Ovis aries: one gene and its partners. The protein of the gene in region 3 purifies or fractionates together with the protein of the main gene of each other region. This does not show direct contact. Links are inferred from orthologs where the notes say so. Each region holds a gene or a part of one and is shown on either strand. Other genes may lie near its edges.

Region 1 (3,579 bases), on a different chromosome or scaffold from region 3:
GAGCCAACTGCAAAATGAAACTTGCCTCAGAATGCAACATCCCCTTTCCATAATAATTCATTCTGATTCCTGCTCTGATAGAAGACCTAGCGAGATAACCAGCTCTAATTGACCTGGACTCCTCTTTCGTTCCACCCCACCCACACACGGAATCTGAATTGGTGCGTGGCGCAGGGGGGTGGTCAACAACAGGGAACTGCCACTGGCCCGTGGGAGTTTGGCCCCAGGGTCCACAAGGGAGGAACTGGCGGGATTCCTCCCTCCCCCCTTCACCCCACCCCAAGGCCTGGCTTACCCTGCTCTCCACAATCCCAGAACCCAAGGGACCCAGGCCCACCTTCGCGGGTTCAGAGGCTAGACTGGACCGGAAGCATCTTTCTGCGAGCCCTCTCCTCCGCGTCTGGCTCACCGCCCCCTCCATCCCAAGCGCCTAATCCCTCGAGGAGGAAGGGCCTGGGTACCTCGTCTCTCCAGCAACCCGGGGCGCTCTGCGAGGGGGCGAGGGCTGCCGGGCACGGGGGGACCCCAATTGCATCACAGAGAGACTCCGGACCCTCAACGTGCCGAGCCGCTGCCCGCGACTCCGGCTGCTGACATCCGCCCTCAAACTAACGGGCCAGGCGGACCGAGGAGGCCGCCGCAGGACGCGCGCGGGGTGCTCTCCAGCCTGGGGGGGTGGTCACTGCCGCGGCGCCCGGGTCGCGGACCCGAGCCTCCCACGACCTTTCAGAAGCGGGAGGGACCTCTGGGGTCTGAGTCCTCAAAAGAAAGAATAAGGCAAATCTCACAGCGTCACCTCAGTTTTCAAGGCGGGCGAGCCGAAGGCATTTCGCAGGTTTCCCTTCGGCCTCGCGGCGCGGCGAGCCCCCGCCCCCTCCAGCAGCCCGCGCCGCCTCGCACTCGAGGGTCTGGCTCCCGGGACTCCCGGGCTCCCCCGCCTCCGGGCGCGCGGCGACCCCGGCGGCCCCGCCTTCCTCTGCAGCGGGAATCGGCGAGGGTCTGCAGGCTGAGGACGCCCCCGTCCCGCCTTCCCATCCCTTGCTCCCCGAGACCCTAAATTTGCCCGGACCCTCTTGGACACCCGCAACGCGGCCCACGCGCCGCCGCCAGCAACCGGCACCCGGCGCCCCGCCCCGGGCGCGAACGCCCGGCGCCGGCACCCCGCTAACACTGGCCCCCGAGCCCGGGAGGGGCCGGGACAGCCACGGCGCAAGCCGGTCAGAGAGTGGGGCGCCGAGACGGGCGGAGGGCGTTTGGGAGGGAGGGGAGGAGAGGGTCGGAGCCCGCGGAATCCCGAGGCGGGGCGGCGCGGCGGCCCGCGGTCGGGTTCAGCCGGGATGCCGGGGACCGGGGCGCGGGAGTCTCAGGGGAGAACGCCGGGGATCCTCGCCCCGGAGGAGTGGGGGGCGGGGTGGAGCTCGTCCCGGCGGCGGCTCCGAGAGTGGGCACCGGGGGATTCCTGTGGGAGGGGAGAGCGGCTCAGAGGAGTGCGTCGGGACTTTGGCCGGGCGGCTCGAGGGGTGATGAACGGATAGAGGGGACACGGGCGGAGGTGGTGGCTTCGGGCACAAGTGGGAGAGGGAAGCATCTGTGCGGGACCACTAACGCGGCGAGCCCAGCTGGGGGATCCCGAGGAAAAGGGCCAGGCGGGGGTCCCTCAGGTCGGAGCCACCGAGGTACGAGCCTTGGAGGCCTCCCGGGTCGGGACCCGGGCCCCCGCGGGCTCGGAGACGCCTGCGGGCAGGTCCGGCGGCGCCGAGCCGGGGGCGGGGGTGGGGCGGGGGGCAGCCGCAGTTTCTTACCTTGAAGGCCACGGGCAGGGTCTTGTTGCAGCGCCAGTGCGAGGGCAGCACGGAGCACAGGAAGTTGGGGCTGTCGGTGCGGACTAGTTCGGCCGGGTGGTCAGCGATGATCTCCACCATGGTGCGGTTGTCGTGCGGCGGCCGCAACCGGGGCACCGCGGCCGCCGCTGCCGCCGCCGCCGCCGCCGCCGCCGCCGCCGCCGCCTCCTGCTGTTGCTGCTGCTGTTGCTGCTGCTGCTGTTGCTGCTGCTGCTGTTGTTGCTGCTGCTGCGCAGCCACCACCGGGCTCACGTCGCTCATCTTGCCGGGCTGCAGGCTGCTGGAGGGGGGGCTGAAGCGCCGGCTGGTGCTCGGATCTACGGGAATACGCATCACAACAGCCACAAGTTAGCGAAGTGGCCGGGGGAGGGGGAGGAGGGTGGAAATGAGGGGCGAGGAGGAGGAAATTGGGGGGGTGGAGGCCAGACGGGGGAAAAGGGGCTGGAGGTGATGGGGCTGAGGAGGTGAGAAATCAAGTTCGATGAAGCCGACTGCCGGGCGGAGTCTGACGGGAGCCAGCGGCGGCGTTGCGGAGCAGTCGGCTTGGCGGTTGGGGAGACCCGAGAGGCGCAGGTCTTGATGGAGCCTTTGGAACACCCGGGGTGGCAGCTGCGAACGAGCACCGGGACGTGTCTGGCCCGGGCAGGCGGGAGGCTTCAGTCTGCAGCAACTTGGAGTGGGGCCCCCTGGGGCACCGCGTCCTGGGTGCGCTGGCGCCCCCTCCCAGTTCGAGTCCGGCGGTGGAGCCCAGTGGGTTCAGCAGTCCAGCCCCGAGGCCAGGATCGCCGCGCGCTGCCCGCCACCGCCGCTCCGCGCCGCGCGCAGCTACCCGGCTGCAGGCGTCCGCGCCGCCGCCCGCCCGCCCGCGCCGCTGCCGCCGCCGCCGCCGCCGCCTCCTCCGCGGCGGCCGCCGCTCCCCCCGCGCCGGCTGCGCACTCAGATTCCTCCCGCGGCGGCTGCCAGCCCGGCTCCCCGGTCCGGCTCTTTCCTTTCCCTTCTCCTCTTCTCGCCCTCTCACCGCCACCTCCTCGCATCCACTCCCTCCTGATTTTTGCAAAGCTCCCCTGACCCTCGCGCTTCGAGGTGCCAGGAGGTAAGTCGCGGGCAGCGGATCTCGGGGCAACGGATCTCGAGGCTACGAATCGCAGCCGCTGCCGCCGCCCGCCGGCCGCGAGAAGGAGCCCCCGGGACGCCGCGCGCAGCTTCGGAAGCCGAGAGAGGCGGCCCCGGGCTAGCGGGATCTCGCCGGGTCGCGTCTTCTTGCTTCTCGCCCTCTCCTCCCAGGACAAGGAACCCCCTTCTTGGTCCAGGGAGATTGAAGCTGAGATGCCAGAGAGCCGCTGGCTGATCTGACTGTCGTTATTTTTCGTTTTAACTTCAGGAGAGGAGGAAGGAAAATTCTTGAGCGTCTGTGCTGACTTCTCAGCACTCTTCACCCTTCCCCCACCCTACCCCCCCCCCCACCTCTGCCGGAGCGGCTCCCTAGGGAAAAAAAAGATTTTGCAGGGTTTGGGTGTGTTTCTTTTTCTTTTTTTTTTTTTTTCACTTAAGTGACACAAAAATTTGGGATGGAGGGGACACTTGTCAAAATAGTTTTAGAAACGCAAGTGGGTGTTGGACACTTTTTCCTTCTATATTCAAACTAGTCGTTCCTAGAGAACAAGGATGAGTTTTTTTAAGCACTGGAAAACTGTCAGCTTGATGATTAAAATAAGTTGCAAAAACCCTCGCTGGGGGA
Region 2 (3,116 bases), on a different chromosome or scaffold from region 3:
CTGGAATATTTTAAAAAGAAAACAAAAAGGAAGAAAGAAAGAGTCTTAGTTTAATAGCAATAATTCAACATGAAGAATTCAATAGTGAAAGCTACTTTACCTCACGAGAGTTCTTGTCTACTGCAATGTGAACAATGCCATCGTTATCACTGCATTTTTCTAAAATTGCTTCTTGAATTGCCAAATGCCACTGATCCCCTATTTCCCTAAAAAATTAATGAAAAAAAAATCAACAGCCACATTCCTACTCAGAAAGCAGTTTTCTGTCTCTTCAATGAGTGCATACTAAGTTGCTTCAGTTGTGTCTGACTCTGCAACCCCATGGACCGTAGCCTGGCAGGCTCCTCTGTCCATGGGATTCTCCAGGCAAGAATACTGGAGTGGGTTGCCATGCCCTCCTCCAGGGGATCTTTCTGACCCAGGGATTGAACCGGTGTCTCTTATGTCTCCTGCATTGGCAGGTGGGTTCTTTACCACTAGCATCACCATATACCTAACTAGAATTAGGACAGCTTAAAAACCATATATTGTAAAAAACTAACAGTATATAAATGCTTGTTACTAGCAGTAGGTAGATTTTAAAAATGTTGGCATTCAGAAGTCCCAGCTATGTTCTCACTTTCCGGTGTAAGAATGTACAAGCTGAGGCACTGAAGGATCAGCCTACCATAGCAAGAAGGATCAGCCTACCATAGTAAGATAAATATGTTTTCAATTTTATGTTTAAAATCCTTTGCACTTATAGTCATTTCTCTTTTCTATCTAAATAAGTGTTAACAAACACTTCAATGAGTTGTGGTAAACTTATAAAAGTTAAGGATTATTTTTTAATGACATTTTCAAATTCCTAACTTAAGGAAAATTCTTAGTAAATATTATATTCTGAGCTGTTTTTTCCCAAAATATTAGAAACTTTATACAGGACAAACATTTTGCAAAAATAAGTCACTTTACTATTATGAAAGAGGTTCTGTTATAGTAACACACATTTGTCTTTCTTGTGAGATACAGATGGTGGGGCAGAGGAAAAGGCCATTCCACTTCAAATCATAAATCTTCATCTCAGGTAATAAAGTACTGGGCTGGCACAGACTTCCTAATCTCTAAGGTATGGGGTGAGACTCCCAGTAGAGGGATCACCACACTGTCATTTCTACCTCTGCAAAACGAAGGGGGTGCGTGTGTGTGTGTATGCTGACAGTGCTTTGTCACATTAACAATTTCGCTGTTATTTAGTCTATCATATTAACTATTTCTTGAAATAAATGAGTTATCAGATGGGAATTATACATATTTTATACATAAGACAATTTCCACTATCAGCTTTTTTTAAAAAACAAACAAACAGAATTTGATTTGTCCTATTATTGGACAGATAAGCAGTCACCTCTAGGAAGCAAATTCTAAAGATTATTACAGCTTATATGTAAAATATTATGGATTTTAAAGAAATAACTTTTGACTAGACTATTTTCAGGAATGCACGTGTCACTGTAATTAAAAGAAAAGTAATTAATAGAAAAGTTTCTCAATGGTAAATGGACATAAAAGTTCCTCAAATATTGCAATGACAGGTAGACAAATCTTATAGAAAGGAGGGTATGTACATCTTTCGTAGAAAACTTCTTATAATAAGGGTTTGGAAATTTTAAGACAGCAGATATTTTTATTTATATTGCCTACAGAGGCAAAGAGTGGTGGCAAACATGACATACATTTAATAAAGGATACTGTTATTTATCATCATATTTGTCATTAATCTGATTCAACCATCTGTCTTCTATAGATTCACAGTAAAACAAAGATTTTAAAAAGTTTTTCAAATCATTATACACCTGTGTCTTTTCGGAAAGCTTTGTTTCAAATTTTGGTAGTTAAGATTCAGAAGTAAAAGAGATTTTTCAATCATAGACACAGCATTATAAGACTATCATGTATTTTTCATCCAGATATTTAAAAAATTGCATGCACCTTTTGTCATAATACTTACATAACTGGATCAAACATATTTCGAATCTTCAGACATGGTGTCAAACTATTTGGTGGTGAATTTCTTCTATCTAAATGAAATGCTATAGAAAAACAAATTAGTTTTACTATTTTCCACTGTTCCATTTTATTGAAAGGTATTCAGTCAATTCGTTCAAAAAATATTCACTGCATGCTTTTACTATGAGCTAGATCCTTGGATCAAGGTGAAAAAGACAGACACACTCACAAGACAGACACAGAGTCACTGATCTCACACTTTACAGTAGTGGAGACAGATGAAAAACAGTATCACCAAAGAAATTATAACTGTGGCAAATTCTAAGAAAGAAGGGTATAGAAAGCTGTCAATGTATGTACTTAAGCCCATTTGTGAATATCAGATAACACTAAGGAGGGTGTACCTATGGTTGATACTTGTTGATGTATGACAGAAAACCACAAAACGCTGTAAAGTAATTATCTTTCAATTAAAAAAGAAAACATTTATGCTGAAATCTAAAGAATAAATAAACATAGGCAGAATAAAGAAAGGTGTAAAGGACATCTAAAGCAAAGGTGACAGCTTATACAAAGCCCAAGGCAAGAAGGAACTTGATATATTCAAATAACTAAAAGACAGTCACTGTGACTAGAGATGGAACAACAGAAAGATAACCCTGAAGATGCTGGATTATGGAGGACTATGTAAACTGCATTAAAGTACTTGGATATTACCATAAGGGCAATGGGAATCCACTCAAATGTTTTAAGGACAGGAATAGTAAGATGGGATCTCTTAAAATTTTTACATAGACTGTTATGTGGAAAATAGATGGAAATAAGAAGTGAATGCAAGGAGACCAGTTAGAGGTTATTATGTTGTCCAAGAGGGAGATGATAGTAATGTGGATAAGACAGGTCAATGATGAAGATGGAAATAAGTGGACAGAATCAGGACATTATGGAATAGATTTGACATGACTTGTTTAATGACTTGTTTAATGTAGAGACTAAGGGAGAGATTAAGGATGACTCCCTGGTTTTTGACAGAACTGACTGAAGAGGGGACGGTATCATTAATTAAACAGGACACTGGAGGAGAGGTCAGTCTGGAGAAAGATGACATTATGTTCGTGCATGTGTTG
Region 3 (4,129 bases):
ATATGCCCCAGGCTGCGGAAAACACTGGAAGAGGAAAAGGCAGGCCACAGCTATGCTTTCCCAGAGGGCAAACTCCTACCAAGGCAAGTGGGAGCCAGGCCTCTCCCCAGGGCCCACCCTGTAGCCATCAGCAAAGAATGTATTCAGACCCTTCAAACTGAAGAGGAGCCATGGTAAGCAGAAGGGGCACATTTGGTCAGAATGGCATGTTTTGCTATGCCAAGCCTTTTCACCTCTCTCCTCCAGAGTTTTCTCAACTTTGAAAATGGGATCAGTCTTAGGCCTAATTAATTGCCTTATCTATTTTCCAGGAGTTTCTTTTTCTTGATCTCCTAAAAGCATATGAAAGTCTTTTGTAAACTGTGAAACAATTCATGCAGCTGTTCGTTTTATACTGGATACTGATTTTTTTTTTTTTTTTTTCTGTCTCAAAACATAAAAAAGCACTTGTCCTCAGCGCCCTCAGGCAGGTAAGAAGGCAGATTCTCTCCAGGAGGGAGAAGTATGACATTCATTTACCCTACTCCCTACCCCTCACCTAAAGTAATAAAGAAGGAAGAACCAGGGCTGAGACCAGGACCTCGGGCTCCCTGACCATCACATCACACCACCTCCTCTGAAGTCAATTCCGGCTCCCCATCATACACCAGAGCACACTTCCCAGACAGCACACCACCTTCCTTCCCGCTTTATTGGCTGGACCCACCCAGTTTTGAAGAAAAAAAATTATTATTTTTCAAGTCCGCACTCCCACCATATGTGGCATTTATTTCCAGAGGAGGCCGGCTCTGGGTTTCCGTGGACAGATGTTGCTTTGTGCCTGCCTGACACGGCTGGCGGCCGGCGTACAGCTGCCCCGAGCAGGTGGCCAAGGACGGAGTCCACTTCTGGCCCAGCATCAGGAGGGACAATTTATGTGGAGCTCTGGCCCCGGGGACCCTCTGCTCATTCCTCCACAGCCAGGGACCCCTACTCACACACACAGACTCTCCCTCAGTACACAATTAAGACGTTCAAAGGGGGCTAAGAGGGAGACACAGAAAGCTAAGATACCTCCCCCCTCAACACATCCCAATTTCCAGCCAGGCGCAGCTAAGCTAAGAGAAGGCCGTGGGGAGTGGAGAGAAGTCACTGACCCCTTCTATCAGCCATCTGTGAGCTCCTGCCAGACCTAGCTAGCGCGAAGTGGAGGATAAAGGAGGTCCAGACAGATGGCAAAGCGCTTTGGGAAGGAGGGCTCCGTAGGAATGCGAGGGCCGATGCGAGGCCCACTTCAGGGTGCGTTTTGTTATCTCCTCGGCTCCAAACCCCCTCCTTTCGGCACCCACCCGAAATCTCAGACTGAAAGAAGGGCAAAAAACAGCCGCGGGAGGCGGGGGAGAAGACCCCACTCTCCGCCACTTATCTCTCTCATTTGAAAGTCAGAGCACTCCGCTGCAACTAAAGTGCGTGTGTGCGGAGGGGGCGGGAGACTGGCACAACCGAATCTAAAAATACTCGATAAAAATGCTAATCCCGAAGGCAAAGAGAGAACGAAGAAGGAATCTGTCAATCACGAGGCTCCCGCTCCTCACCCACAGCCCCAGCTGTACGGACTGCATTCCTGTCGAGAAGGAAAGAAGTGGGGGGACAGGAATGAAGAAAAGAAAGGGAGAGACACCACCACCTCCACGAGCGCGGGCCGCGGGGGCGGGAGGCGGCGGCGGAGGAGGGGCTCGGGCCCGCGGAGCCGAACAAAGCGGGCCTCAAGTTCTATCCCGCAGCTCCCCGAGGTGTGTGTGTGGGGGGGGGGGCATCCTGCAGCACCCCCTTTCCCGGAGGTGAAATGCCAATGCGGGGTCTAGGGGAGCGAGTGCCGCGTGGAACTCCCGGGCTCTGAATCTTTGCAATTCCAGAAAAGGTTTTGTTTGGGGTCCCCCTTCGCCCGCTTCCTGCCTGCGTTCCCACCCCTCGTATACACACACACACAATCCCTCCCGCTCCAGTCCCACCAGGCCGGCCCCGCCACGCTATGGGGCCGGGCGGGCGCGCCCCGAGGTCCCTCCAGCCCCCACCTGGGGATGGTGATGCACTTGGTGTTGACGTTCTGCGTGGTGATGGCTTTCTCCAGCTCGTCCAGCTGCCCCGTCTTCTTGAGCTTCTTGACCAAACTCTTGACTGCCTTCTCGCACCACTTCTCCTCCTGCCCGTTCTGCTCGCCCTTTTTCCAGCCCAGCAAGCGCTTCACGATCGGGGGCGTGAAAGGCAGGATGGACGACATGGTTGAGGAGGGCGCGCGAGCTGCGAGGAGCGCCCCCGGCGGGGCTAGGCGCGGCGGGACGCCGGGGGCGCAGCGGGGAGCTCAGCCCGGGCCGGCTGCGGCCGCCCAAACTTCGCTTCAACTCTCGGCGAACTTGCTGGTTCTCCAGGCCCGGCCGCGGCGCTGCAGCCGGCGGGGCTCGGCGCGCGGCCCTGCGCCCCGGGCGTCTCCCACGGCGGGGAGAAGGACGGCGGGGCGGCGGGCAGGCAGTAGCGAAGCGAGATCGGGAAGGCCTGGGACGCGGGGCGGAGGCGGCGGCCGCGGGGACCGGAGTGGCAGAAGAAAGTTTGGGTTTCCGCACGGGGTGGCTGTTTGGGTGCCGCCTCCAGGAAGGAAAGTCCAACCCCCAGCCAAACTTTGCTCGCCTCGCTCGCTTTGATGCGCAGATCCCTCCGCCTCGGCAGCCTCGCCTCCCCGCTGCCCTCCTCCTTCCCGGCTCGCTCGCTAGCTGGGCCGGCCCGGGGCGTGCGCCGCGCTCTTGCTCCCGCCCGCTCCCAGTCTGTGTTTCATGCAAATCCGCGTGCAGCCTCCTTTCCAAGCGCTGTCACCGCCCCCTTGCCGCTGGGGCTCCCCGCCTCCTCCCCCGCGCCCCGCCGCCTCCTCCTGCGGGCGCCTTGCTCGCCCCCCCCCCAACCCCCAGCCTCCGGGAGGGCTCCTGGCCTTTCCCCCGCCCGGCGCGGAGCACGCCCACGTGGGCGACCTGGGACAGCGGCCGCCAGGGCTGGAGCGCGCAGGACCCCGCGCGGCCCCGACCTGAAGTCCAGCGGACGCCGGGAGGAAGTCGTGGGAAAGGAGCGGCGAGAAGGGCCCCTGGCGGGAGGGCCGGGCTCGGGTCGTGGCGTCCGCTCTCGGAACCCACACTCAGGAAACCCAGCTGGAGTGGCGGGCCCGAGGGTTAGACCCGCACGAACGAACGAGAGCGGGCTGGCCACAGGCAGGCGGTGCGCTCCTGGGAGGACCCCGGTTCGAGGGAGGACGCGCGGAAGGCTGAGGCCCAGGAAGTCGGGGCGCGCACCAGGACGCTGGTGCGCCGATCCCGGTCAGGGGCCGTGGCGGCGCCGGGGACTCGGGGGGCTGTTTTTATTCTCGCACCAGAGAGACCGTTCCAGTTTAGAGCCCCAGGGCCGGATTAGGGAGAGGCTCTCAGAGGTGCCGATTTGGGGACCCCAGTGACTCCCTGGATAATAGCTGGAGTCAGGGGTCCCTTGGACCTTTGGGAATCAAGTGCCCCGCAGAAAATGGGCCTCAGAGGCATTCGTTAAGCTCAGGAAGAAATGAATGGGGGAGCCTTAGAACTTATCTGTAGAGGAAAAGTTTCATTACAGGGTGCTGGAATCCTATGGGAAACAAAGTATCCGAAATTCAACACCCAGTAAAATAGGAGAGAGTTTTGTTTTCAAAGCTGTGAACTCGCAACAAGTGGAGCAAAAGGGCAGTCTTCGGGGACCTTATATATTCCAAATTAGCTTCGGTGGGAAGCAGAGGAACACCAGGATATTGGGGGCGCTCTGGGGCTTTTCTCTCCATGAACACAATTCAGGGGCGTCTACCCACAGACCCCTCACTCGGTGGCTGTCAGGAGTTACCCCAGGCCCCCAGGGCCTTTCTCCTGCAGCCCCTCCCCTACCAGACCTCTTAGCCTTTGTTTGTTTTTAACAGCAGGAAACTCCCTTGGTGAGAAAGAAGTGATCCGCAAACCCTCTAGCGGGTGGGGAGTTACAGAGCCCTGTGAGGTGTGGCCTAATCCACAATGTCAGCCCAGAAGCTGCAGGGGTCCCTGCCTGGAAGGAGAAAATGAGCTCTGGCAGGTCTGTCAGCTGCTGGGGCTGA
Region 4 (3,579 bases), on a different chromosome or scaffold from region 3:
GCTTAATTTTTCATAGTTACCAAGACTGTTTAACTTAGTTCTTATGAATGGTAAGCAAGCTTTGAAAAACTTTCATTTCCATTAATATAAATTCTGAACTCTCCTAAGAATGGGTTTCTACTACTTGCAAAGAGCTAGCTTCACTTAAAGCATTTTGTCACTGTGCTCCAAAACAAATATCTTCCTGTAGCCAAATAGTTACCTCTATGACTCTACGTCTGTGTCAGTCTTTACATATTCTACTTAGTGGCTCTAGACATCTAATTGATAAAGTAATATTGGGTTCAAAATGAAGTCAAATTATATAGCATTATCAACTTAAAATTATTTTAGCTTGAGATAAAATATTGTGGGAAAACTGTACTTCCACTGTCTATTTTATTTTAGATTCTAAATTATTCAAAATGGAACAGAGCTGGAGAATTAACTTATTCATAATTTTAATCATGCCATAAAGTAAAATTGGGTTGTTGTATTATTAAATAAGAGCTGGAAGAAGTAAGAATACTATTGGCCAGAGTTCACATAATAGAAGTTTGTTTTCTCAGACTCAGCTGATCTGTACTGTCCCTTCTAGAAAATGATTGACCCAAAAGGAAAACTTAGAAGGCTGCTCTTTTATGTTGATGAGTTGACAATGGAAGCAGTAAATATCTCTTTAAAGTTCATTTCTTCCTTGTGCTCCATCTCAGTTTTTAGCTCCTACTCAGGCTAATTGCGGAGAAGGCAATGGCACCCCACTCCAGTACTCTTGCCTGAAAAATCCCATGGACGGAGGAACCTGGTGGGCTACAGTCCATGGGGTCGCTAAGAGTCGGACACGACTGAGCGACTTCACTTTCACTTCTCACTTGCATGCATTGGAGAAGGAAACGGCAACCCACTCCAGTGTTCTTGCCTGGAGAATCCCAGGGATGGGGGAGCCTCGTGGGCTACCGTCTGTGGGGTCGCACAGAGTCGGACACGACTGAAGCGACTTAGCAGCAGTAGCAGCAGGCTAATTGGCAAATGCCTGGGATGGTTAGACAATCCATAATTTCTGCCAGGAAAAAAAACTCTGAACTTCTCTCCCAGTTAACCAGTAGTTTGCTGTGGTTAAAATTAATGTAGGTTTTGCAGCAACAAATATTAGCATTTTTGTTTACTATAAATAATTGACTTGAAATTTGGGAAATGAATAGTTGAGTACATCATTTGAATGTTTATTTGATTAGTTACTTATTAGTGCAAGAGGCCATCAATGTAAATTTTTTTCTCTCTCTCTCTCTCTCTCTCTCTCTCTATATATATATATATAATCACTTTGTTTCTGCATTTTAATGTTTAATATGTATGGTTTCTTTTACTTGAAAATATATTTTATTTTTTGCAGTGTTTGAGCAATACACCTCCACTTACTGAATATTTCCTGAATGATAAGTATCAAGACGAACTGAATTTTGACAATCCCTTAGGAATGAGAGGTGAAATAGCTAAATCTTATGCTGAATTGATCAAGCAAATGTGGTCTGGAAAGTTCAGCTATGTCACACCAAGAGCCTTTAAGGTTAGTATCTCAAATACATTTTCATCAAGGCGTTTTTACCCCCAAGAGGACAGACGTCTTTAGGAAAAGAGCAAAGAATCATAGCTATTACAGTGGTTTGTGGCCCTCCAGAGGGACTCAGCATATAAATAGATATGCAGCAAATAAAGTATTAAATTTTCAGGGTGGGGTACAGAAATAGATAATTAGTTTAAAATATCCAAAAAGAGTTCTGGGAGCTGTCAAAGGAAATAAATAAAAGTTGAGAAATGCAGGCATGGTTCAAAATGACGACAGACAGACAGCAGTGAGCACTTGCAGATTGTTTTAGAATACAGCATATCTCTAAGAAACCTACGTAAACATACAGAGGTAAAGACTAAATTTGAGCATGTCATTAAGCTCTAAGAACTCTTATTTTGAGAGTGATAAGTTTGAAAAATTACTGAAATTAGTCTGCAAAGCAAACACTAAATACTGAGTATGGTGATGGTGGTAGTTTAGTCACTAAGTCATGTCTGACTCTTGGCGACCCCGTGGACTGTAGCCCACCAGGCTCCTCTCTCCATGGGATTCTCCAGGCAAGAATATTGGATTGGGTTGCCATTTCCTCCTTCAGGACCTCTTCCCAGCAGTTTTCAATCACTTTTTATACAACTTAAATGATATTCTTATAGGAAATCAACTGGGCAACATTTTATTACTGTATACTAGTTCTTTAAAAATAAATAGCAACAAAGCAGAAAAGGTCCTACATTTGTTCCTTAACTTTCCAAACGTTGGACCAACTGGTTTAGACAAATCATTCCTCAGCCTTTATCCATAATTCCAGTTATTTTCATTTTACAAGATGTCCTCATTTAAAATTACATTGTAAATAGGTCCTTGATAACCTGACTTTTTTCTTTCACATTTCTTTTCAGTCTCATCAAAAAAATACTTAGCACTGCAATGGCTAGAAAAATTATATATGAGCATGAATATTCCTTTTGTCTCTATGAGATTTATCCTCTTTAAACACAGAAGCTGAATGAGAGCACTGTAGTTTTCAAGTGACCCAAAAATGTTACTGAATTTTAAGTCTGTGTGTGTGTGTGAGCTCAGTCATATTCGACACTTTGCAACCCCATGAACTGTAGCCCACCAGGCTTCCTCTGTTCATGGAATTGCTTCCACTAAGAGCAAGTCTTTAGTGTTTCCCAATTCTTTGTACAAAACTGCAACGTTTTCTCATTGTTCTTCGCTCAGGTCAATGTTTCTTTTCTATTTTACAGCTTAGTTACCATTATTAAAATATTTTTAGATATGTAATTATTTGTGTGTATTTACCCGTATGTAATTATCGTATCTGCAAATTACTGGAAAAGTGCCACAGGTTGATTTCAGGATTACAAATAAATTTTAGGAAGTAGATGAATTCACAGATATGGATTATCGACTATATATTTTTTTAAATCCCTAGAACTGATTTTATAGTTTTGCTTTTTTTACAGACACAAGTAGGACGTTTTGCACCTCAGTTCTCTGGATACCAGCAGCAGGACTGTCAAGAACTATTAGCTTTCCTATTAGATGGACTACATGAGGATTTGAATAGAATTAGGAAAAAACCATATATACAATTAAAAGATGCTGATGGAAGACCAGATAAGGTAAATTTAACCATATTATTGTCACATTGTTACAATAATGTGATATCTCTGTGTAATATGTGTCTGTTTTCCTTATAGGTAGTTGCTGAAGAAGCCTGGGAAAACCATTTAAAAAGAAATGATTCTATCATAGTAGATATATTTCATGGCCTTTTTAAATCAACTTTAGTATGTCCGGAATGTGCTAAGATTTCAGTAACATTTGATCCTTTCTGTTACTTGACACTTCCATTGCCCATGAAGAAGGAACGTACCTTGGAAGTTTATTTAGTTAGAATGGATCCACTTACCAAACCTATGCAGGCAAGTAATGATTCTTTTCTTGGCATTTGTTAGTTCTGAGTCCTTATGCCTTAAGTTCAGTTCAGTTCAGTCACTCAGTCGTGTCCAACTCTTTGCCAC

What was found. The genes of interacting proteins can lie anywhere in the genome.
Region 1: the proteins of SMAD3 (region 3) and RUNX2 purify together in Homo sapiens (affinity purification with western blotting; 3 studies listed by BioGRID). This does not show direct contact. The link is inferred for Ovis aries from reciprocal best matches to the Homo sapiens genes SMAD3 and RUNX2.
Region 2: the proteins of SMAD3 (region 3) and LEMD3 purify together in Homo sapiens (affinity purification with mass spectrometry; 3 studies listed by BioGRID and IntAct, counting the BioPlex papers as one, with this or other methods). This does not show direct contact. The link is inferred for Ovis aries from reciprocal best matches to the Homo sapiens genes SMAD3 and LEMD3.
Region 4: the proteins of SMAD3 (region 3) and USP15 purify together in Homo sapiens (affinity purification with western blotting; 4 studies listed by BioGRID). This does not show direct contact. The link is inferred for Ovis aries from reciprocal best matches to the Homo sapiens genes SMAD3 and USP15.

The regions. Positions count from the first base shown.
Region 1 is NC_056073.1:18,657,096-18,660,674, reverse strand, and holds part of RUNX2 (runt-related transcription factor 2), read right to left. Parts: intron 2,654-3,579; exon of another isoform or gene 2,175-2,653; coding exon of another isoform or gene 2,159-2,174; coding exon 1,803-2,158; intron 870-1,802; exon of another isoform or gene 422-869; coding exon of another isoform or gene 338-421; intron 1-337. UniProt on the Homo sapiens protein: Transcription factor involved in osteoblastic differentiation and skeletal morphogenesis. Essential for the maturation of osteoblasts and both intramembranous and endochondral ossification.
Region 2 is NC_056056.1:154,714,570-154,717,685, forward strand, and holds part of LEMD3 (inner nuclear membrane protein Man1), read right to left. Parts: intron 2,073-3,116; coding exon 1,991-2,072; intron 207-1,990; coding exon 101-206; intron 1-100.
Region 3 is NC_056060.1:13,866,660-13,870,788, reverse strand, and holds the start of SMAD3 (mothers against decapentaplegic homolog 3), read right to left. Parts: upstream 2,808-4,129; 5' UTR 2,261-2,807; coding exon 2,055-2,260; intron 1-2,054. UniProt on the Homo sapiens protein: Receptor-regulated SMAD (R-SMAD) that is an intracellular signal transducer and transcriptional modulator activated by TGF-beta (transforming growth factor) and activin type 1 receptor kinases.
Region 4 is NC_056056.1:157,296,697-157,300,275, reverse strand, and holds part of USP15 (ubiquitin carboxyl-terminal hydrolase 15), read left to right. Parts: intron 1-1,372; coding exon 1,373-1,546; intron 1,547-3,018; coding exon 3,019-3,177; intron 3,178-3,255; coding exon 3,256-3,480; intron 3,481-3,579. UniProt on the Homo sapiens protein: Hydrolase that removes conjugated ubiquitin from target proteins and regulates various pathways such as the TGF-beta receptor signaling, NF-kappa-B and RNF41/NRDP1-PRKN pathways.